3 linked regions of the Arabidopsis thaliana genome follow. The protein of the gene in region 3 purifies or fractionates together with the protein of the main gene of each other region. This does not show direct contact. Each region holds a gene or a part of one and is shown on either strand. Other genes may lie near its edges. The genes, in order: AT1G26550, HB22 and LSH10.

What was found.
Region 1: the proteins of LSH10 (region 3) and AT1G26550 fractionate together in Arabidopsis thaliana (co-fractionation; one large-scale study listed by BioGRID). This does not show direct contact.
Region 2: the proteins of LSH10 (region 3) and HB22 fractionate together in Arabidopsis thaliana (co-fractionation; one large-scale study listed by BioGRID). This does not show direct contact.

The regions. Positions count from the first base shown.
Region 1 is NC_003070.9:9,168,147-9,175,780, forward strand, and holds AT1G26550 (FKBP-like peptidyl-prolyl cis-trans isomerase family protein), read left to right. Parts: upstream 1-2,971; 5' UTR 2,972-3,057; intron 3,058-3,643; 5' UTR 3,644-3,653; coding exon 3,654-3,786; intron 3,787-3,934; coding exon 3,935-4,044; intron 4,045-4,294; coding exon 4,295-4,437; intron 4,438-4,527; coding exon 4,528-4,570; 3' UTR 4,571-4,887; downstream 4,888-7,634. Other genes in the region: AT1G26540 (Agenet domain-containing protein), read right to left, coding at 1-289, 413-520, 609-690, 791-918, 1,015-1,102, 1,184-1,348, 1,432-1,854, 2,209-2,649.
Region 2 is NC_003075.7:12,720,633-12,728,974, forward strand, and holds HB22 (homeobox protein 22), read right to left. Parts: upstream 5,006-8,342; 5' UTR 4,882-5,005; coding exon 4,233-4,881; coding exon of another isoform or gene 4,219-4,232; exon of another isoform or gene 3,920-4,218; intron 2,327-3,919; coding exon 2,280-2,326; downstream 1-2,279. Other genes in the region: IPT4 (isopentenyltransferase 4), read left to right, coding at 1-790; TAR2 (tryptophan aminotransferase related 2), read right to left, coding at 7,308-7,504, 7,588-7,880, 7,964-8,244. UniProt on the Arabidopsis thaliana protein: Essential protein. Putative transcription factor.
Region 3 is NC_003071.7:17,744,333-17,752,635, reverse strand, and holds LSH10 (LIGHT-DEPENDENT SHORT HYPOCOTYLS-like protein (DUF640)), read right to left. Parts: upstream 4,856-8,303; 5' UTR 4,632-4,855; coding exon 4,098-4,631; 3' UTR 4,067-4,097; intron 2,542-4,066; 3' UTR 2,112-2,541; downstream 1-2,111. UniProt on the Arabidopsis thaliana protein: Probable transcription regulator that acts as a developmental regulator by promoting cell growth in response to light.

The sequences.
Region 1 (7,634 bases), on a different chromosome or scaffold from region 3:
TTGCTTGAAGAAACATCGAGCTGCAGCTTTTTTACTTCTTCTAATAACCCATAGAAACTCACCATCATGCCAACTGCTGACCATTCACGAATATCTTCTTTGAACTCCAACAACGGGCTAAAATGAGGATTCTGTGGCACTGTCTTGTATCCCTTCTCCATTTCATATGTCTTCCAAAATGGCAAATTCTTTGTAAAAGGCTCAATCGTTAGTGCACCTTTTGCTTGAGTTTCCTCAACATCAGCAGCAGAATTATCCACCACATTCGAGCTCTGATCAGAGGATAGCACTACATAAACCAATGCAAAATAAAATTATAAAAAATTTGTTCAAGCATATAAACCTGATTGTTTAATAAAGGATACATCTAAGCTACTTTGAATAGAAATTGCTTTAGTATATTGAACCGAACCTGTAGGTATATTTATCCAAGAAGAGAGAGGCTGATCATCAACATCATCAACACGTATAGTATCACTTGTACCGTTGACCCCAGCCTTTGAAACATTGCAAGTCTCATCTACAAGTTTTAACCAAGGATATGATAAAGTTTGGCAAGAAACAAAGAATACCAAAACTAATATGGCCAATGCTGATTTTAGACATACCAGTTTCATTCAGGTTAGAGTTTTGATTTTGTTCTCTTTTCCTTTTTCTACTCTTTTCGTTGCTATTCTCCTCCTCAGGCATCTGCATTCAAAAACAATTAACAATCAGGAAGGCTAAAGATAATAAGCACCATCTAGTGGAAGTGAGAATGGTTATGTTTCAAACAACAAACTAGCTTTACCTCGTGTTGAGTTGAACTATTTTCCAAGCCATTCTGATGCTTCACTGGCTCAGGTGTCTTCTTTGGGGATTTTTTTCCTTCAGTTTCAGCATCTTGTTGTTTCAATGGTGTGACTGTTATGACCGGGGCTGGGGTACATGTGAAACAGATTCACATTGACATTAAAGATCAGTATTAAGCGATGTAGAAACTAAACACAATGAGTTAAGGAAGATTATGTTTACCTATTGATGTTTCTTGAGGGGTTATGAGCAGATGAGTTTTGTCATTCATCACAGCATCAGCCTTGTTTTTTCCTAATTCTCTAGTGGCCTAATTTCAGGTAACGCAGATATGTTAAGCATAATCAAAGACATGGCGAAAGCAAAGGAAACTAGTGAGTGTCTAACTTACAGATACAAATTTTGCTTTAGTGGGTGTCTCGCTAATTTCCTTAGAATTCAGGAAACTTCTCAAATGCTTTGTGGCACTCGTAGGAGTCATTGACTTAGCAGCAGAACAAGAGCGCATTGGCTTCCTTTTCAAGATGGTTGGAGGAGTTTCTTTTATGGGTTTTTGCTGAAAATAGAAACAAACATAAAGCATTCATACCAATAAACCAAAACTGTCAGAATGTTGATTGAAACTAGTGTAATTGATACCTTTAGATCGTTATACCAAACTCCATCTTCCCACACCATGAAAGGCCTAAGATCTGAGTGTCTTATTGTAGATTCCTGCTGTGTAGCCTCTAATCTAACCGTGTAACGGTTCTCAGAGAGAATTTTCCTCACTTGCCCTTTATGCCATCCCAAACCAGAAAACGTCTCTACAGATTCCAACAATGCATACTTGTCAACTGAAGAAGGAGGCGGTATGGGTCTAACACGGCGCGAATTAACAATGTTGGTTGGTCTCGCCTCATCACCATTGCAGCTCAGGTACCTATTACAGTCCTTGACAATGAATTTCTTCTTATCATCCACATCAGTCTCTTTGACTACCATTGCAGGGGACCACACAGCTTCTTTGGCAGAAAACACTTCCACCATTGTCCCGGGGCTAAACATGGACTTATTCGATTCCTTCAAAGACAACAAATTAAAGTCTACTTTTAAGCATTCACAACCAAAACTAAACCTTTAATAATTTTAATCATAGCATATAACAAGAACAAAGAAAGCAACAAAATTTTGACAGCTACAAGCAAAAACAACACCGGATTTAAGAAAGGATCTCTTAACCATGGAACTATAACACTCAACAAACGAAAAATAGAGAAAAGTTTCAGCCTTTTGAAACTAAAGCTGAAACCTTTAACCATAACACGCAACCAGACTCAAAACGGATTAAAGCTTCAACCTTTTTGAAAGAGAGCAACAAAGAGACAGTTTCAAACATTCAAGCAAAGACCCACTTCGAATAAATCAACCTCATACCTCAATTTCTGGTTGGATCCAAGTCCCACCGGTCCAGATAAGATGAGTCCGCAACTGCTTTCTCTCGAACTGTATAATGTCAGGAGGCAAATCAAAATAAACCAAATAGTTGTCGTCCTCCATTTTCTTTACGACAACACCAGTCCACCACCCGTCTTTGTGGTCAGCATCCACCAGCAAACCTTCCTCCAAAACGACGTCTTTTTGTTGATTCTCCTCCGGAGGTACAGGTCTAATGAATCTCTGTTCGATGTGTTCGATTAAGGGAGACGAACCGTCCATGTCCAGCAACGTCGAGTAACGAACACGAAGCTTTCTGCGAGATGAGTTCCCTGGGTTTTCCTCTAAAACAGCTCTGAACCAAGCTCCTTCGAACCCTTCCTCTTCAGAACTGACTTCAACTACACAATCTTTCGTTATCTTCATCGTTTGCAGCTCCATCTCCGGAAAGTGAAAAATGTGGTTACTTTGTAGAAATAATCAAAACCCAGAACCCAAATAAGCAAAGAGTGAAGCAAAAAACCTCCCTTTTGTAAAACCCTAAAATTTCACTCTGATACTGAAAGACAGCTAGCTCTACAAATGAAAAGCAGAGACAGACATTTACGAAAATAGGAAAAATATTTATTTTCTTTTTGGCGCGATTAAATTTACGAAAAATAGAAAATATTTGATAAGAAGAGTATCTTATTGGGCCTAATAGCCCAACCATGAATGGCCAAGCCCATATTAATGAATGGGTTTAATGTTCCATCTCTAATCCCCACAAGACTTTTCAGCAAACAAATCTCTCTTTCTCTCTCTCACTCTCTGCTCGATCGTTCAATCTGATAGAAGAAGAATCTCAAGGTAAAGTTCTCGACTTTGTAAATTTCTTGGCTTCTCAATCAAATATTTCATTCCACTTTTAATAGTAACCTTTTGTGTTTTCTCCGATTGGTTTTGTAAACTGTTGGTCAATTCTCTGATTTTTAGGCTAGAAATTGAAAACTGGGGTTTATGTTATTTGCGCTAAATCTTCCGTCTAGATAATTGTTTTTCCATTTGCGATGTTATCTTGTGCATGGACGCACCGGTTCTATATTGGGCTCTTTGCGTTTCGATTGTCCAAATGTTAAATTACTCATTTTTTAATCTGTAATCTTGTTTTGTGTTTTGATCATTCTGAATTTGATGGATCTTAGCTTACTAAGTGTTTGATTAAATTCCCCAAAAGTTTCGGGTTGAAGCATTTTTTTAAGTTTACAAATTTGTATATCTGCTTCCAGTGTAGTAGATTCCAAGTCACTTGCATTTGGCTTTAAATCTGCATTGAAAAGTTCACTGGATTTATTTCAGGGTTTAGGGTTTACAAGATGTGTGTGGTGATGTTAAAAGTTAAAACCCTGTAATCTGATGGTGATAATAAAGTTTTAATCGTGGTTGTTTTTTATAGTTTTAATTCGATGGGGAAGGACGCAAAAGCTGGTGGGAAGGGTAAAGGAAAGCAAGCAAGTGGTAGTGAAGAAGCTCCCTCCAAGGGTAAAGGAAAAGCAGGAAAAGCTGCAGATGGTCTTGGGACATGCACTTATGTTAAAGGTGTGTTTTTTGGATTCGTTTCTGTGCCTGTTACCTTTGTTCATGAGTAAAAAATACTGGTAAACAAATATGGATCCAAAAGTTCTCTTACAACTTTTGTATTAGTACAATAGCATTAAAGTCAAATCTCCAATTGTTTTTGTTTCAGCAAGACATGTTTTGTGCGAGAAGCAAGGAAAGATCAACGAGGCCTACAAAAAGTTGCAGGATGGTTGGTTGAGCAACGGAGACAAGGTTCCTCCTGCTGAGTTTGCAAAGGTGAATATCCTTCTTCTTTTTTGTCTATGAGATCAAAACATCAATCTAAGATAGTTCAGATAGTATTGTTTATTCCATCTCTAACTGTGATATGTACGTAACCGCTTATAGAAAACCCACATTCAATACCTCATAGTTCATTGCTTTCCCGACATCTACAAGTTTCAGTTTTCGGTTAGATATATTTCGATAGATGTGTGTTATGAATTGTGGAGAATCTTAACACGATTTGTGTGTGGAACGATCTCAGATTGCAGCAGAGTACTCTGAGTGTCCATCAGGGAAAAAAGGAGGAGATCTTGGATGGTTCCCTCGAGGAAAGATGGCAGGTCCATTCCAAGATGTCGCCTTTAATACACCTGTTGGAGTCACCAGTGCACCCTTCAAATCAACGTATGTCCAAATCCGATCTCTTCTTTCTTCTCTTCTATCTGAATTTATCTTTATTAGTGGATGATGAATGTAATTGCGTGGTAATTGCAGGCACGGATACCACATTATTTTATCAGAGGGAAGGAAGAACTGACAGATACATCTCTGCTCTGCTACTTTTATGGAAGTTGCTACTGTAACCTTAAAAAAAACACAGCCTTTGTTGTTTTGGCCAAATTGTTAAAAAAACTTGTCTCGTTTTGAATAATGAATGCGTAACGGCCATAATATATGCCGGGTGTTGATTTCTGAAGTCTGAATATTGAGACACCATCTCTATTATAAGCTCGTCGCTTGGTTTCTTTGGCTTTGAGAACATTTTGAATTTGCCCGTAAGAAAAAATTGGTTTCTAAGCTGCTGGCTGTAGCTTAGAGAGGGTTGATGATTTGATACTGGCTATTCCTAACAATTATAACTTGGTACGAAATCGTTTTCGAATCATTGATTAATAAAGGTCATACGTGTGAACACAAGTGTAAAAGTGTGACGTTATTGCATGAGCATCTGAAAAACAGAGTGAAGAGAGGTGTGTAATGTGGGTCGTTGACTTGTTAGTGTGAATCTAACAAACGCATATTATGATCCATAATTGCGCAAACCCCTAATCCTCCATCCACTTTTTCATAAAAGAAACAATAATGGTTAATGAGATTTGTTGTCGCGTTACAAATTTCAAAACAACTTAACATTTCAATGACTTCATGAGCCAATAATTAGCACTTGTGTTGTGACTTATACATTCATTCATTAGTCAGATGAAATCTCTTACATATTTTTTTAAAAAACAATCACAACACATCTATTTAAGAAGAAGAAGAAAAAAAAGTAAATGCTCAACATAAAGTAATTGATTTAGAGAATAAAATCCGGGGAAAAAAATGTATTATTTGGAAGAAAAAAAAAAGAAGCAAATGGGAACACAAGCCTTTTTCATATAAGAGGGTCACAATCACAAATACATAACCTCAATGTGTGAACAAATATGAAAACTCAAATGCAGCATTTAGTTTTATTAACATGAAATGTATTATGTGGAAATTTACCAAATCAATCATATAATGTATCTTAAGTTTAAGTACAAGCAATTATACCTAAAAAGTTTAAAACTATAGACAAAGATTACTAAAATATAATCCACGTTTAACACAAACTATCAGAAGTCTATTTGGCTAGGTATAACGAAAGCAACAAATCCCTCTTTAAAAAAGAAAGCAAGATTATTAACTAATGTAATTATGAATACAATCAACGCAAATTAAAATCATAGAATGTAAAATTTGTAACGAAAAACGAGAACACGGTAAATATGACTAACGTGTTTTAATCTAACAAAAAACACCAAGATACGTTGCATCACAAGTGGATAATTGTGCAAAATTCCACATCTTCATTGTTAAAGCAAAATATTGTTTAAAACCAATAATAATTCGATACGTGTCAAGCGTGATAACTTTAACAAAATTAAGCAACTAATTAAGCACTTGAATAACTTCGCGAGACACTCGTAATAATTTCCACTTCTGAACTTCTATATTCATTAATTAATCAAATGAATCTCCTACTTACGCACACCGGCGGACCTATTAAGAAAGAAGGGGGTCAAGTGACCCCATTAATTATAAAAATATAATTTATTACATGTAAGTTTATATACTTACCCTGTTTTTTTGTTGATTGCTGCGACAAGCACCGGCGGCACAAAATATAAAAGAAAAAAGAAGGAGAGATGAAGGTGAGATGAATGAAAGAGTCGCAGCGATAGATCTGAAGAGATAGGAGAAAGAGAATTTGAGACGCTAAAAATTCCAGCGTCTACGGAATGGCCGAATTACAGTCACTGCGGCAGAGATGAAAGAGAGGAGAAATGAAAGTGAAAGAGAGATGAGAGCTTTTTTTAGATCGCAGGTAGCTGACTTAGCGATCAATCAAAAAACAGGGCCAGTGTATAACTAATTAACTAACAAAAATAAAATACATTAGCCACATATGTCCATTATAACTTCCCACTAATTTTATCTTATCAATAATTTTTACTTTTTGATGCAATCTTTTTCTGTTGTCTACTTTTCGTGGTTTTTTGTGTATTATCATTTTCTCTGTTGGCAACTTTGATTCTTATATTATTAGTTGTTTGATTGTCATTTTTTTCCATTCGCTTTAAGCCAAAGGTTATTTGAGATGCTCACAGAATTTTTAGACAAAAAGCAAATGGGAACAAAAGCCTTATAATAAGAGGGGGCCACAAAAACATCCACACTTTCACATTATCTCACGCCATACACTCGTTCCAATCTCACGATCCCATGAAGATCTCTCTTATCTAAACACATTTTATATTTTTGTTCATTTGTTAAATAAACACATTATAATTGGAAATAAAATTCTATTTACCGGAATTTTTCGTTCTTTAATAAATGGATGGAGGCATGGAGATCTACCAATCAAAGAGCAAATACTACGGTTTTATAAGATATATTATTTTTATTCAACCTTATTGAGTCAACTGATCAGTATGTTAAATATTCACATTGTTAGTTGAAGAACTATTTTTTTATATAGTTATTTTGATATAATTTCAATAATAAATGGTTTCTATAAATACTTCAAATGATAAAAATATATGATTTTTCTTTTTGTTCCTGAGTATAGTGACAATAGTCTATACTTTATCTTGAAATCTTTTTTTTTTTAAATAAGATACTTAGGTCCTGTTTGTTTGGCCATTTGGATGAACCATCTCAATGAATATTAAAACTAATGTTTGTTTTTCATGTTTTAATAGATCATCTGAATGATTCAGTTGAATGATTATTTTTAAACTCATCCAGAAAATGAAGAAAATCAGACTGAGTTTGATCTGTTCATTCTGCTGAAGATGATTCAGTCAAAATTATAAAATGTCAATAATACCCTTATTTAATTTATGGAATTACACCAAAAACCACATCTCATCTTCAGCTTTTCCTCGACACAAAACAGAGAAAATCAAAATTTTGATCTTGTGATCTCGCCGTCGTCGACGAGAATCGGTCGCCGGAGATCTCGTCGGATCCATCGCTGGAGTGTAACAGGTTTGTGTTGCTCTCTCTCTCTCTCTCTCTCTCTCTCTCTCTCTCTCTCTCTCTCTCTCTCTCTCTCTCTCTCTCTCTCTCTCTCT
Region 2 (8,342 bases), on a different chromosome or scaffold from region 3:
TCGACGTGGAGTGCCACATCACCTTCTCGGTGAACTAAACCCGGAGGCTGGAGAAGTCACAGCGGCAGAATTTCGCGTTATGGCGGCTGAAGCCATCTCCGAGATTACTCAACGTAAAAAGCTCCCAATCCTTGCCGGTGGATCCAACTCATACATTCATGCTCTCCTTGCAAAATCTTATGACCCTGAAAACTATCCGTTTTCTGATCACAAGGGCTCAATCTGCTCCGAGTTGAAATATGATTGTTGTTTCATTTGGATAGATGTGGATCAGTCTGTGTTATTCGAGTATCTTTCTTTACGTTTGGATCTTATGATGAAGTCAGGTATGTTCGAGGAGATCGCTGAGTTCCACCGCTCTAAGAAGGCCCCGAAAGAGCCATTGGGGATATGGAAGGCTATAGGAGTGCAAGAGTTTGATGACTACCTCAAAATGTACAAGTGGGACAATGACATGGATAAATGGGACCCTATGAGAAAGGAGGCTTATGAGAAGGCGGTGAGAGCCATCAAAGAAAACACATTTCAGCTCACAAAGGATCAAATCACGAAGATCAACAAGCTGAGAAATGCCGGGTGGGACATAAAGAAGGTGGATGCTACAGCATCGTTTCGAGAGGCAATTAGGGCAGCCAAGGAAGGCGAAGGTGTAGCCGAGATGCAGAGAAAGATATGGAACAAGGAAGTGTTGGAACCGTGTGTGAAGATTGTCAGGAGCCACTTGGACCAACCGATCAACTATTATTATTATTACTTTTATTTACTAAAAAGATTTTTAAGTCTTAACTAGTTTGGACTAATATCACCGCAAAACAAATGTCATAAAAAAATTTCATATTAGCTTTATAAATATTTTAATATAATACATTTTTACTGATATTGATTTCTATTTATAGTTTTAACAAGGACTCATTCCCTCGCGAAATAGTAAACATAATATCGTAGATTAAAAATTTTCATTTATAAATGTGTACGTAAAACATGCATGGTTAAAGATATGTGGATTTTTACGTACAATATGATTTAGAGAAATGTATATCTAGAAATGTATAAATCTATATGGATTATTTTTCAAAGATTATGATACAAAAAAAGTATATAATTTAAGGTCGTAATTTATGAGGTTTTTGAGTTTACTATTGTACATAATGTATAGGTTGAAGACGATTAAAACAATTTCTATCAACAAACAAAAATGGCCGGTGGGATGGTAGAAAAAAATGTGGACGGATTTGTAACTTCTAAATGAGATGAAGAGATTTCTATGTAAAGGTTCTCATCTAATTATTTCCTTGAATCCTTGACATCAATTAAAATAATCCAAAACGGAATAGGATTCTCACTCTTTAAATCATTTGGGTACGCAATGACCTCTCGTGAATTTGATAAGACATCCAGATGTCTCCTGAAGCCTGAAGAGCCTGCAAAATACAAGACATCCGTTACCTTCTTGCTATCAAGAAACATCATATATTTCCCCCATCTGCTAACAGTAGATGGATCCTACAACTTTTGACGCCGTATAGAAAACACAATTCAAGATTGAAACCGGTTTTGTATTCAGTCATACTCAAAGTAGAAATAAGTCTTTAAAACATAGGGGATTCAAGGCGACCATTTCTCATGTCACCGTTGATTTCAGATTTGCTACCAAGAATCTATACATGCGATACATTAATAAAGTATATTTATATGGAGTTATATTTCCAAAACTGTTGTTTTGTGTCTCTCTCATTAATTATAAGTTTATAACAATGCATACCTTCAAATCCTCCATGACATTCGGCTAAGCGTCTTTGAGAACAACTACCACAATCCCATCAGTGTATTCACCCACCAACGAAAGAACCTGTCTCTTGTCCTTGACATCGTTAAGTAGCCTGTGATGGCGGCAAAGCAAAATTGTAAACACGTGAAACTTTTTTTCAAAGAGAAAATGAGAAACATATCTACCTTGAATGAAATGTTTAGTTACCTTGTAAGAGAATCTTGTTCCGTCATAATGCAATATCGGATTCTTCCTCAAACTATCAAAAACAGCCTTATTGGAATGCATATCAACATATATAATCACTCTTCATTTATATGCTCGGGTGTTAAGGCTAGCCTTCTCTACAAGATTGAAGTTAAATAACAAACAAATCAGCTTCATTAAATAAACGATGATTTATAGCTTTCATACGAAGACCAAAAAGAGGGGACACAAACATAAACATCAATGAGAAGATCAATGACATGCTTGATTTGAGTGAGCTCCAACATGAGCTTCTCTAATGCTGTTAATGAGCTGAAGTCGCTTCGTATCGTTTGAAAACTTGATAGCCATCTGAAGAAGATAAAAAAACATAATCCTAAACGTCAATATTTATTGCTTTCAGAAGATCATGGAGACAAAAAAAATAACTTATACAAGGCCGATTCCTTAAAATTAGGGTTCGTAGACTGTGCAATTATCAAAATCTAGGTTTTGCAACCACAATAAATTTCCATTTCTCGAATCTTAGAATGAAATCAACAAAATTTAGAATTCGAGCTTGATTTAATAAAAAAGATCGATTCTCACAATTAGGGTGTGCGGTTTTCAATATATATGATTCCGCAACCTAAAAACGACAATAGATTTTCATTTCTCCAATCTTAGAGCGAAAGAAACTAGGGTTTATCAATCAAATCGAATCGAGACATCCTCGGTTAAACAATTCACAACAAGTCAACAAGTATTAGAAACACGAACAGACGAGAGGAAGATCGACGAGAGGAAAATGCATGGAAGTTTGTTGATTGAAAGGAGAAATTTTGAGATAAGCTTTTTCGTTTTGTTAAGCCCATCAATATTCGGCCCAATAACCCCAAACACACTTTCACACACGTGGCTTATATTATGCAATTAAGCATTTCACCATGTTTTCTACATTTGATATGTTTACATCAAAACGTTACGTTAATTAATTGATGCTTAATTTAATAATTGGGTTGTGTGATTGTGTCGTGCTGTGAAAGAGACAAAAGAGTGAGAAGTTTCAAAGCAAGCTCAACACAAAAGCAAAGCACATTTATATAAGAAGAAAAAAGAGAGGAGAGAGTTAATGTGATAAGCGGTGAGTTTTGGTAAGATAGCGAGAGGAATGTGACAAATGTGAATTCTCTCGTCATTTTCTTCATCAAGATGGAAATCTATCGTCTGACATCCTTCGGAAATCATCATTAGTTTAATTATTTCAATTCCTTCTGTTCACATGATATATAAAATCCGGATTTAACGGTTCGAAGTCTTTTTGAACAAAATCAAAATACGTTTAATGAACTAAGGAAATATTCAGTTAATGTAAAATTTATTTAGAAAAAATAGGTCAAATGAGACCCTTGCAAAACTTGGATATTACAACAGAAAAATGTTCCTTAACTGCGTTTTGTTTTATTCATATGTGTGTTTTGCGTCAGTTCGTATATCATATGCTATTTATGGATATCACACGCGTAATAAGCAAATAAATAACATGTTATTTAAACATTTACCTATTTAAACAACATGTTTTGTTGTTTTTAATTACGAGTGTATTATCCCGCAATGGCATGTTATGCTTAGACACCTATACGACTACAATCGTCCATGGCTTCTCATTGTTGCACATGCTCACCGGTCCCAGATCTTATTTTCTTGCTTTTTTGAACTTTTTCTTCAGTTTTACAGATAATCTTAGATTAGTTCATTTTAACCGCCCTATAAGAGATAACTTACGTAGACTATAGCTGATTCCTAGCTCTAATCCTCCTTATCATTTTATTTGTTTGTCAACAATATGTAACTATCACAAATTACAAGGCTACATATCTTGATCAACGGATCTTTAATAATCATCTAATTAACATAGGTATATGGCAATACTAATATAGGAAAATAACAGAGAGTATACTTTTATATTGTTTACCAATGTTGGTTTAATCACTGTACTTTAAATTTGGATAGTTTGGTTCATCATTCAATTGCATCCTCAGTAAATTTATGGAATTAACTAGTCGAACCAAAGTTAATAAAGATTAATCACAATGTCTCCTAAACTGTCCGAAACGACCAGATACGATTATTAACTAGAAGAAGAAACTGTATGTCCAGGAAAAAATAACATAACTAATAAGCAGAAGTAGTTACAGAAGAGTCATACCAAAAAAAGAAACAATTATGATCCTCTAGTGTTTTAAATCATGTCTCGAGCAAAATTAGGGTTTCTTACCAAGAGAGTTCTTGTTGTTATGCATCCAGATTTTAAGCACTTGTCTCCTAACACCAGTCTCCGCACAGAACTGCTCAACCGCCACGTCATCATGCTTCTGAATTCTCCACCCCAACCTCTCCGCAAAGGCTAACATCTTCTCTTTCTGTTCCGCCGTGAACTTCGTTCTAAACCTCTTCGTGGTCCCGCCGCTGCTGCTAGGATTTGATGTATCCTCCTCGTCCCCCGATGCCGCGGGTGGCCTGTAAGGCGCCGCGGGAGATGTTAGATGAAGATATCCAGGCGGCTGATGCGGCTGCGGCGGGCGGTTGTAGTACGTGGGAACTCTGTGGGCTCTACCGCCGATGCTTTCGGTTTCCTTGCGGTGGAAGTTGCGGTGGCAGCCGCAAGCTGCACACTTAAGAGCGTCGAGCGTTCCATCTTCACCGGAAGGCATAAACTCGCAACAACCGTCCACGGCGTGGCCACCTATGTTAACAGCATGGTTCTTCAAGCACTCTCTATACCTTATCTTCGCTCCAACTCCTTTACTCCTTCCTACTCCTCCACCACCACTAGATGTGGCTCCCTCACCGCTTAGAGAGTCGTAACCGCAGGGGGGATTAACACCTGACATCTCCATATCTTCTTCTTGATCCTCAAAATTCATTCTCCGATCCCTCTTTCTTTATTTCTTAATTCTTGAACATCTCAAGAGACATCCGTACTACAATTAGATTGTTACTTAAAAAACTATAATAGAGAGACCAATAATTCATGAGAGTTAAGAGTATAAATTATGGAGGAAAAAATTATTTAATTTAATCCGAAAGAAAAGATAAAACAGTGAAGATAAGAAAGAGATAGATGATGAGAGTGTGGTCAACAAACCCTGCCGCTTAATAAAAGGGAGTCTCAACTTTTTACGTTTTTTTTTGTTTGTTTTAGAATAATATTCATATATAGATAGTTTCATCCAAAAAGAACACCCATAAGCCATAACCTTTTTAGAGTTTGATGAAAAGTACAGTAAAAAAAGTATGTTCCATTGGAGTATATGATTTACAATAATTAAATGGTGGTTTGAGAGTGATTAATATTAAAAGTGCGTTTAGGGTTTTGTTCAAGGTACTTCTGAGTTCTGACTTTACTGTAAAAAAAAAGATCAAAAGTGGGACTGTGGTGAAAGAAAAAGTGTCTTTGGGAACTTACGGATCACAGCAAATGGCAAGAGCATTGGACGTAGAGATAACGTGTCATGGGTATAAATCCGGCCTTAATTTTGGTTTCTTGTTTGTGTTCATTATCAAACAAATTAGTTTCTTAAATCGGAAATCGGCTCTTTGACAATTGACAGTATAAATATATTATTAATCCGTACTCACAGAATTCTGAACGCAGAAATACCATTCTCGGAACCAATAGTTGTTCACCGTCGGACCGGTAAGTCCACGACTCATATAGTAATTCAGTCCGGCTATACTTAGAAAAGCCTTTTCGATTTCAAAATTTATTACTTAGAAATATGCTGAGCCTAACATGAACCGTTCTAACAGTTCGTGTGACTTGAAATGTAACTAGATTTTTTTATTCGGTATAATTTACTATCTACTGCTCTATATGTATGTTGTACAGTTGTAGTGTTATATGTAGGAATATTCCTGTGAGCCAAAAATCTGTGGACCACCCGGTCTAGACCTGTTTTTTGGTTTGAAAGAAATCATGGTGCAAGTTGCAACAAATTCATTTAAGATCTGAAGTACTATCATTTATCCTTAAAATGGAATTCAAACACGTTTTATGTGAGATATATTTACAACTTATCATTAATTCCAACTCTTAATCATGTTTTCTCTCTTTTTGTGTCTCTATATCTAGTTAGTACAAAACTAGAAAAAAATGTATACAAGTTGAAGTTGTTATGCTTCTTGCTTATGGTGAAGGTTTTGAAACTTATATCTTGGTTATAAACCCTTTTATCTTTTTGTGTGAAGAAATTGTGTCGCTGATGTTTTATGAGCTATGCATCAAACAAAGTGAAAACAACAAACATGGTGTTTTGAGTAAGGATATGAATAGGTTTGGAAACAAATATAACATGCAATTAAGATTCAAGAATGGGTATAATTGGAATTCAAACTCAGATTCTGATCAAGTTGGCCTCAAAATAATTACTAATCTCAAGAAAAAGACTAATTTGTGAATAGGGAAAAAGACAAGTAGAGTTATGTAGACGATCAAGTTGATAGAGAAGGGAGCTAGTAGATTTGTGGAAAAAGACAAAAGACGAACGGCCGTTTGACGATGGAATAGTTCCACAAACAAATATGATGTGGCGTAGTCAGGAGAAAGTTGATGATGAATTTTGCAGATACAATCACGTGAATGGTTTTTGTGTGGTTGTGCACATCCACCATTGTCCTCATCCATATGTATATTGTGGATACATATTAGTTTCTAAAAGCTTTATTTTAATGTTTTAATTTATTTTTTCACATACAAACCATGAAAGTTAAACTTTTAGAGTATGATGAATGAGTGACAAGAGATTATATTTTGAAAACTTTCACAATTTGGTATTTTTGAGAGTTTAGTTGGTGTTTTGGAATTTTTTTTTTTTTTTTTTATGTTCAACTTTTTTAAAACATTTTTGTTATGAAATATAAATGATTTTGGATGATTTCATTCTTCTGAATTATACAAAGAAAGAAAGTTGATGCGGCTAAAAAACGGTGCTGTGAATAAAGCTGACACAAATGTAAAATGGAAGGTAGCGACAATGATCCTTCCGTAGCAAAAATGTTGATATGACTCTGAAGGATTACCTAAGGCTGGAATTTAATACTGAAAAAGCTATGAGATGTTGGATCTGATCCTTCGAGATTACAAAGTTCCAGACCAAAATGCTGACAACGCTTGAACAAACTCTCGGTTGTGTCGTAGTGAATGAATGTTTGCTCATTCATATCATCAGAGATGGTTTGATGAATAGGTCTTTGATTGATCCTTCACATTATTCAAATTTCCAATAATATTTATGGAGCAAAACACTTGTTGCAAGTTATGACAATCGATCATAATCACATGCATATGCACTTACAAAGTTGAATTAAAGGAAGATGTAATCCTGTGAAGGAAAATATTAAAGTTAGTATCTCTATCCAACATGCTTATCCTCACATTACTTAGCTCATCTCCGAAGTACTTTCCACTTTTAGTTAGAATCTTCTTCTCCTCTCTAAGAAACTTCTCACAATCCACTATCCCTTCTTCACACTTAAACCATGCAAATGCTGCACAAAACACACCAAACCAAATGAAAAACAAAAGAAGTGGTTCTACAATCATTTCTACTTTTGTTTTTCTTTATACGTACCTGGTTGTGGCTCAAAGACCCTGCCAAAGAAATTGCAACGTTGAGAGACGAAATCAGGAACACTGAAACGTTTAGTATCCTTTGCTGCTTGTTTCAATAGTTTCCACCTCTCATACATAGCATCATAACTATGGTCAAAGAAAGATTTGCCCGTTACATTCCCACAACTGTCTGACACAACCTTAAGAACCTTGGCTACTCTAAGCTGTGAGTCCTTTGAAACCCCAATCGTGTTGAGTTCAATGTACTCTATCATTTTCCTAGCCGTCTCTCTGTCTTTCACCAAAGCCCATCTGCAAATTAAATGAACAAGAATGTAACGTTTAAGAGACTTGTTCTCTGTTTTGCTCCCACAAAAGCAAAAGATTGTACTTACCCAATCCGTATCCCTGCATGGCCAGTGCTCTTTGAAGCAGTGAAGAGCATAACATCGTGATCAGCTGGTGATGTTATCGGTGTATACTGTGGCCAATAGTAAGCCAAATCATGGATCAATATACCTTCAGTACTGTTCACTACTGATTCTCTCAAGAACCCATCAGGGTTGTTTGGAGATGTAACAAGTTCAATGTATGGACCATCTTCTTTGTACGTCTTTGCATCTCCACCCCATCGATATAAACCTGATTTGAGGCAGTCTGTAATCAACGGGTATGTCTGCAACCAAACCGGTTATACATGTTAGATTGACACATATATGTGCTAAAATAACTATAAAAAAAAACTAGTATCCAGCAAAATGGCGTGTCTAACAA
Region 3 (8,303 bases):
AAAAAATCGTATAAAATTAATTTGTAGTTGTGAAAAAATAGACCAATTACTGGAAGCTTTGGTGGGCCTGGGCCCGGGTTTTGAATTTAATGACCGAAAGAAAATTAGTTATAAGAGTAATGAGAATGGCCAAAAAAGAAGTGGTGGGAAAAGAGAGTGACGTGGAAGTAGATAAGTGGTGACGTGAAGTAAATGTTTGTGTTCCGTAACTTAAAAATCTAATCCTTCAAAGTACACCATGCTGTCTCACTCTCACGACGTTGCCTTGCTTGTCGTTTTTCTCTTTTTTTTCTTTCAAAGATTGATGACGTGGACGTCTAGTAACAAAGCAGTTTCTAGAATTCCACGTGTCACATGTGGGTTCGACATCTCGGGTTTATCATTTAATGTCTTTCGTCCGATCTCCACGTTCGTTCCAACGGTTTTGTGTAACGACGATGTTGTGGTTGAAATTTTCAATGTGTAATTATGTTTTTGAAATCGAGATCAGATTTAATTCTTGAGCTGATAATTTTTTAGTTTAGTTTGATAGATATAGTTTATTCCGGATAGTTTATAGATTTTATTTTGGGTACAGCAAAATTGGTGGATGTTTTGATTTGTCAGAAGCAACATACCATTTGAAGGAACAATTACTTTTTAAGAATTAGATATAATAAATCGTAGCTCACTAGGTTAGGTAATGACATGATAGTTGTTGACTTGTGATAAGGAGCTGAGAAGAGAGAACTGGGAAACAGTCGAGAGGCTATGGGCCTAGCATATTGGGTTATGTTACTACAAAATTGGGCTTATTTAAGTTATCTTATGTGGCCCATTTAGATTATATGTCAACAAAATTTATTAAAATTTGCTTTTCGAGCTTTTTGTTGTTCTTTCTACAAACTGTACAGAGGGAGTAATTGTTATTGGGAAAGGAGCAAAAGATTAAACACAGCATAGAACATATGCATGTTTAGAAAAGAGATAGTTGAGACTTTAAATAGGAGTCACAAGTGTCGGTGACGTGCGATGGAGAAAGAGGCGAGAAAACAAGTGGACAATACGTTTCTCTATTGGTGTGAAGAGATTGAGCTCGAAGAGGGGTCCTACACGTACTCAGATGATACGAGTGATTTCTTCAATGAGCGAAGCCAGAGGCCGCGATTTTAGGTTTGGAGACGAACATTCCTTTGCTTCCATATGAAATAAAGTGATCGAGGTTTGTGCTTATACTAGTCTCACGATGAGAGTTGTGTTGCTTTAAGATGAAGGAGACCGAAGCTATTGAAGGAATCCGACGAAGCTTGTTGATGATAGCGGAGATGAAGACATACATTATTTTTAGAGAAGAGGAGTTTAAAACAAAAATGTAACATAAAACTATAATCAATATTTTACATGAAATTGTAAATGTAAAAAAAAATGAGGTTAGTTAACGGGCGACACACAAAAGGCCAAAGCCATGTTAAAATCTAGTTAATTAGGCATGAAGAATTGAAAAATATGCTCAATTATCATTTCTATACGGGAACATACAAATCATTATTTTTGTGGAGTATCATTGCTCTTGTTATTCAACTTACAAGATTCTCAAAGTGTTATTCAAAATTCATGAAGACCATACTTTCCTTAGAGAGAAGATGAAAACTGTTACTCTTACAAAATAATCTCTTCACTATTGTTGAGACTCAGACTCATAACTTTGATCTATTAGAAAAACATAAATTAATACACCAGCTGAGCTATAGGTATATCATCGCTGGATTTACACAATATGCTTGATAATTAGAAAACAATAAAGCCAATTCCGATGAAGACAAATATGAACTTGCCCTACCAAGATTGTTTTGTAAACGACTTTTCCTATCATATTATAACACCATGTACTCGTCGTTTTGGGGGAAAATTAATAAAATGTAATGGTATTTCTGTTTAACTAGATTTATTTTCCTCCAACTTGTTTTTGTCTTTTTCATCTAGACTTAACATTTACAAACATTGTTTTTTACAAGTTTAAATTTCAAGGTTTTCTCTTATTTGTTGGGAACATCAGTCAGGAAACAACTTTTTATACTATTTTCAAACAGATTGTTTTGAAGCTAATCCATTGATCACTTTCTTCTCTAAGTTATAATTACGTCGATCCATCAATTTTAGAATACTCCAAAAACAAAAATTATAATTGGTCATCGGACTCTGCTATTCCACCATATATAGTCCATTGTAATTTTCATTTAAATCCAATATGTTGGACTTATATAAGACATAGAAGTACGCTGATCCACATAAGAAGTACAAAACACACCTGAATTCAATATATAAACTCTTTACACTTACTTTATTCAAAAGAAAAGTGCTTAATAAGAGAATAAATATGAATAGAGCTTAATAAGAGAATAGATGAAGATATTTATGACGACGGAGATCTGCGGAAATGAAGAGGAGGGGACGAAGAGCTGCAAAAATGGTCCCGAAAGATATGTTGAAGATACCAGTAGATAGATTTGAGGTCTCTTTTACATTTGATCCCTCTTTGAGACTTACTGATCCTGCCAAGTTCTATTGTATCAAGATTAGTTCACTAATTCATTGCCAGAAATACATGTAATATGCGCTTACCTAGATTCACAGATGCAAATAGGATAACGTATATAAATTCAAGTTTAAGCCATAACTATGCGAGATGCATGCATGCATGTCCGAGAGACTTAATTTTAACCCATACTTCTATGGAATTCATCAAAAATATATTCTTAAATTATGTTTCTTGTGGCATATGTCACATTTGTATAATCGAACAAAATCTACAAAGCTATGCGGGGGACAAAACCAACTTTCAAGCTTTTCCAAAGTTAGTGGTGACAAAGATCCTAAAGGAGACGCATAAAGATGATTTGAGCAAATTATATATAAACTTAAGACTGAAATTATAATTGAGATCAAAGAAAATAAAAATGATTTAATTAGTTGAATTCAAAGAGACAAACTTAATTTCCACAAAATCTAATTGTATAATCTCAGAAAATGCCAATGCATAACTATTCCCAATGATCATGCAGTAAACAGCCTTTATAAAAGCTAAAATTACATGTCACAATCCAAGCTCTAAAATCTGAGATCCTAATTAATATGATTGTATATGATAAAGATTTGGTTGAATTGTTCATATTGAGATCATTCTACTAAGACCCACATTGCAATAGTTTAAAAAGTATGAATTAAAAACGTTAAAGTATTATGTGTGAGGTAATTTCTATTCTGAGATAACCTTCTTAGCCTTTGATAACAATCATGGAATCTCAATATTTCTTTAGGTTATAAAAATGGGGGTAAAAGGTTCAATCAACTCCTCCCTTGATCACCAATGGGGAACAAAATCTACAAAAATCTTTAAAGAGAAGCCTTCCAAGAGCCAATCATTACTTCATTGAACTACGTACTATTTATATAAATAACAGTGGTACAATGTGTACACACGGCCCATATATACCAATATTCAACTATACATACATGGTTGATAAAGAAAGGATTCAACTTTTGAGAATCAAATGTACGTTTTCCAAATCTTGAATGAGTTGTTCACTAGGATAAACTTGAATAGTCTATAATTTCACATATACATAGCTTAGAAAGTCTGATGCATTTTCAAATTAAGGTTTTGAATAAATCTGTTTTTAGTTTACTTTAATGTTAGAGATTTAATGAATCATCTATTCAAGAATTGATTTTACATGCTAGAAACTAGAAAACACATCTTCCTTTATATTATTTCAAAACTAAAATCAACTTGCATTCGAAGAGCTAAAATGATTTAAAAGAAATCATTCCAAAACACATCTACTTCCACTGAAACCTAAGATCTAATCACAAACCGGTCCCTTAATTCCGAACCCAATATCAAGAAAAAAATTTAGCTGATCATTCACAGAAATCAAAAGCCTAATTGTATCTCCAATTAGGGTTTTTGATACATAGTATAATATATATTATATCAATCAAAATCTATATGTTATATATAAATGATGCAGATATGCTTGCTTTATATGTAAATTATGCAAAGTCACATATTGGAAACATATATTACCACAAAGTCTTTCACGACGATGGAGAATCTCTTAAGAGAAGCTGAAGGAAGAGGAGGAGGAAGAAGAGTCCTCTCTCCCACCTCCCATCTCCGGCGTTGGCTTCTTCTTCTTCTTCTTCTTGTAAGGAATCCCTCTAGCCTTAGCCTGACACTCCCTAACCTCCCTCAGATAAACCCTTATCGCTCCGCTAGCGAAAGGGTTAGTCTCCGGAGGTCCACCGTTCTCCTCGTAAGCCGCTCTCAGCCGTCCGATCAAAGCGTCAAGACTTCCCCAAGCTTGTCTGAGAGGGCACGTGCAAGGAGCTGGTGGCTCAGGCTGGCCGTAGAACATACAGCCAGGCACGTGCACCTTTGTCTTACCGAACTGGTCTAAGTACCTGAGGAAATCAAGCACGTGGTTACAGCTGCAGTGAGACATCGGCACAGGCGGTCTCTGATTCTTCAAGTACTGTCCGAAAGTGTTCCAGTCACGTCTCTTCTGCGACTCGTAACGGCTTGGTGTCACCGGTGGCTCTGATCCTGATGATTCCATCAAACTCTTTCCTCTTTCTCTTGGAGAGGACATGATATGATCTCTTGTTGAGTGTAAGAGAGATGTTGGTGAAGAAGGTTAAGGGATCAATTTGTTTTATGGATCTGAAGAATTATGTAATAAGAAAGAAAGATGAAAGGTTGAGTGAGTTTGATGAGAGGGTGAAAGTAATAGTAGCAGATGATGTTGACGTTAGAGAGGACATGTTATGGGCCCTTTCAAAATTTTGTTTTCTTTCTTCCTCTCTCTCTCTTAACTAATTACGTATCAGTATTTATTAATCAAATTCATTGGCTAAAAAGATTTACATAGTTTTTGTTGAAAGATCACCAAGTTTGAGTTCTCCACCACGATTTCAAAATTGGATACTGTATATGTCTTTATAATGGTTAGAAGATTCAATGCTTACATCGATTTCAGAGAGTCAGAGACTATTTGGACTTCAGCTCAAGATCATATATAGTTTTCTAAAGGGATTTTATACTTGGGAAATGTGTTAGTTAGCTCATTGTGGGTTGTATGATAACATTTTCTATTGATTAAAAAACTACAAACAATACTCTTCTTGTTGGACGAAGCAATATTTACACACACACATATATATAAGGATGTGAAAAAACGTTGTGGATTTGTCTACGAGGGTTTAACACGCCGTAGGATGAAAAACGGCCAGGTTGAAAATACAGATTGGTTTGTCAGCGAATCAGATTAGAGTGGATCACTTTTAGACTATATTTTAATAAATATTAATGATATACAAATAATACTAGAATCGTTGATACCAATTTCTATGTTGACACGCCTAGCTACTTATAGTCCATCCAATTTTCCGGACAGGCGGAATATATTCGGCGTACCAATTATAACAGTTTGATATATGATCGTTTTCATTTCTCGTATTTTACGATATCAACGAAAAGGAAAAATGATAGTTCTTTTCAGTATAGATGAGTTGTTCATATCATTGATATATCAATTTGTTTTTTTCTTTCTATAAACAGATTTGCAACTTTAATTTCAATCAATTTTTGTTGATATAGAGTGATGCTGTTTATCTAAAATTCGTTGTAGGGTTCACTTCTTGTCCCCATCAGATTTCAATTGTTTTTTAACTCTAGATTTTTGTTTCGTAAATATGGATGCTTTGCATTTTTCATGTACTTGATAACTTCAAATACATTATAGATTTTGTTGGTTGTTTTGTGTCATCTATAATTTATATACGCATACATTTTCGAAATTCATATCAATTATGATACAATGCAAACCAGTATATTACATGTTTCCATCCGTTATAATTGACTAATGATAAAATTTATTTATTTGAAACAATAAATGAATTGCAAGTTAAGATAAAAAAATCTCCAAATATATATTTGGTAATTCAAATAGTTTATTACTACTTGTACGAGTGAAATTTCTTACGAAACATTTCATTTTATCAAATGGAAGGAGTTCAGCGACACTAAAAAGGAAGGCGTTAAGTACCAGTCAAAATCATTGTCAATTTTTCATTAAATGCTTCAACAAATTCTAATTAGGGATCTTGTTTTTTTCTCCGAAATACATTGCACATGATGTTTTTATAAAATCTAATTAAAGCCTAATTTAACGATAGATTTAGTCCTTTCTTTTTTTCCTTTTTTCAATGAAATGCAATATAATAATATTATAATGAAAATAATAATTGAGCGAGATGCAAAGTAGAGTGAGCATCTATGTCCCTGATTGGTTCATGAAAACTAGGTAATAGGTTATGACTCACTAACCACTATATATTCTACCTATGTTACATATGGTTTCTTTTATCATGTTCCATCAGAATTAATCGCTTATCTTTAATAGGATACTTACATATATGTCGCTATACATATCAACATTCAGAATTTAATAATATAGTATAATTGAACTAGAATAAATCATACCATATTTTGATTTGGTTTAATATGGTTGAACCCATTCCAATTCGGAGTAACTTGCATCTTGAAAATTTGTCTTTTTTGTAATTTCTTTTTGATGGGAAAGATGGTTTTGAAATTCTAAGTTGTAATGATTTGGAAGTAAGAAAACCTGATATTTACGTCATGTTGAGGAGAAGAAAGTAACACCTGTTAATTTATATTTCAACATATTATTAATTTACATAATAGCCAAAAGAACTCGTTTGAATATGGAAATATATCATGTAAAGCATAGAAAGTTAGTAATAGATGATGATCGTCATTTTATGGCCGTTTCTAACCAAATTGCTTCCGTGTATTCGATCCCTTGCAATTTAAGATGGATTTGTCACCGTTATAGCTATGAAAAATTGCAAACAGTAGCATATATGAAATGTTAGCACATAATGAATTTAGGCTATAATTCTCATTGGTTTGTTGACGACGTCTAGCGACAGTGAAGTCATATTTTCTTAAGGTATATAGAGTCAGCTTGACCAAAAAAAAAAAAGAGAGTATGTAGTCAAAGCAATTTAAGATTTCATCAAAAATTCTTTAATTCATGTCTTGTTCTTTAACTTTAGAGAACTAGAGGAAACTAAAAATGGTTAACTACCATGTGAACTACTGAAGTTGAAGAGAAACGAGAAAAGAACAAAAGAGAGGGCATGTGATGTGTTACGACACGTGCGTAGGCATATTATTTTCCAACCTGTCAAATTTGACTGTTTAGGATATGATATTTAATATTTTTTTTCCCTTTTGCCATTATTTTTCTATAACTTTTTAAATGTTTACAAAGTTGTCTCTATATACTTAGGTTTTATTCGTTTGAATATGAATGGCATTCTTAAAGTTTATGAACCCACACGATTAATAATGCGTTGGTTTTATATGGCTATTATTATCACATTACGAAAAAACGCTTGAACACATCATTTATTCAACATCACTTGTGTAAAGGATTTAAAATTGAAAAATGAAAAGGATATTAACAACAGTTACTTAGAGTTAACGTAAGTTTTTTTTTTTCTTTTTTTTGGCAAACGACTTAACGTAATTTTTTTAATCACTGAAAACTGACTTAAACGATATACACAATTGACGCTACATGATGTATTTTTTTTAGTGATATCGATCACAATGAATGCAGAAGTATTATTCAAAACAAAAAATAACTAAGTTCATGGTGATAATAACGTCACAGAAAATAAACTATAATTTTTTCTTTAAATATGCTATAATTTTTAAAACATTTTATTTAAATATTTAATGTATTAAATTATTAAAAATACAAGTTTCACGAAATGTTCAATTATTTCAGTTTATCATGAAACGGTCTCATTATGAATTTAAATTGTTTTTTGTGCGTGTGGAAGATTTAATTTGTTATCAAATTTCTTGTTTATGTACATGTATGTATTCTTTTAATATGAGATTATATATAATGTATGATATGATTTGTTCAGTATATAAAACAACGAAACTGCTTCGGTGATTTTTCTTACTTCTTAAAGAAAGAAAAGCGGTGTCGGTGTCTTTGTTCATTACAAGAGAGATAACAAAGAATGTAAAAGTGTCCAGAACTAATTCCGGTCCAAATTACGAGTTTACACACAAATAAACTACCTAAAATAAACCATACAAATTTTGTTTTTTGTTAAAATCGTTTGTGCTGTTGTTGCATTGAGATAAGTTTTTTTTCCTAAGAACTTGTTGTGAGTGTAGGTGACATATATCGAAAGTTTCTCAAATGGAGACGAAC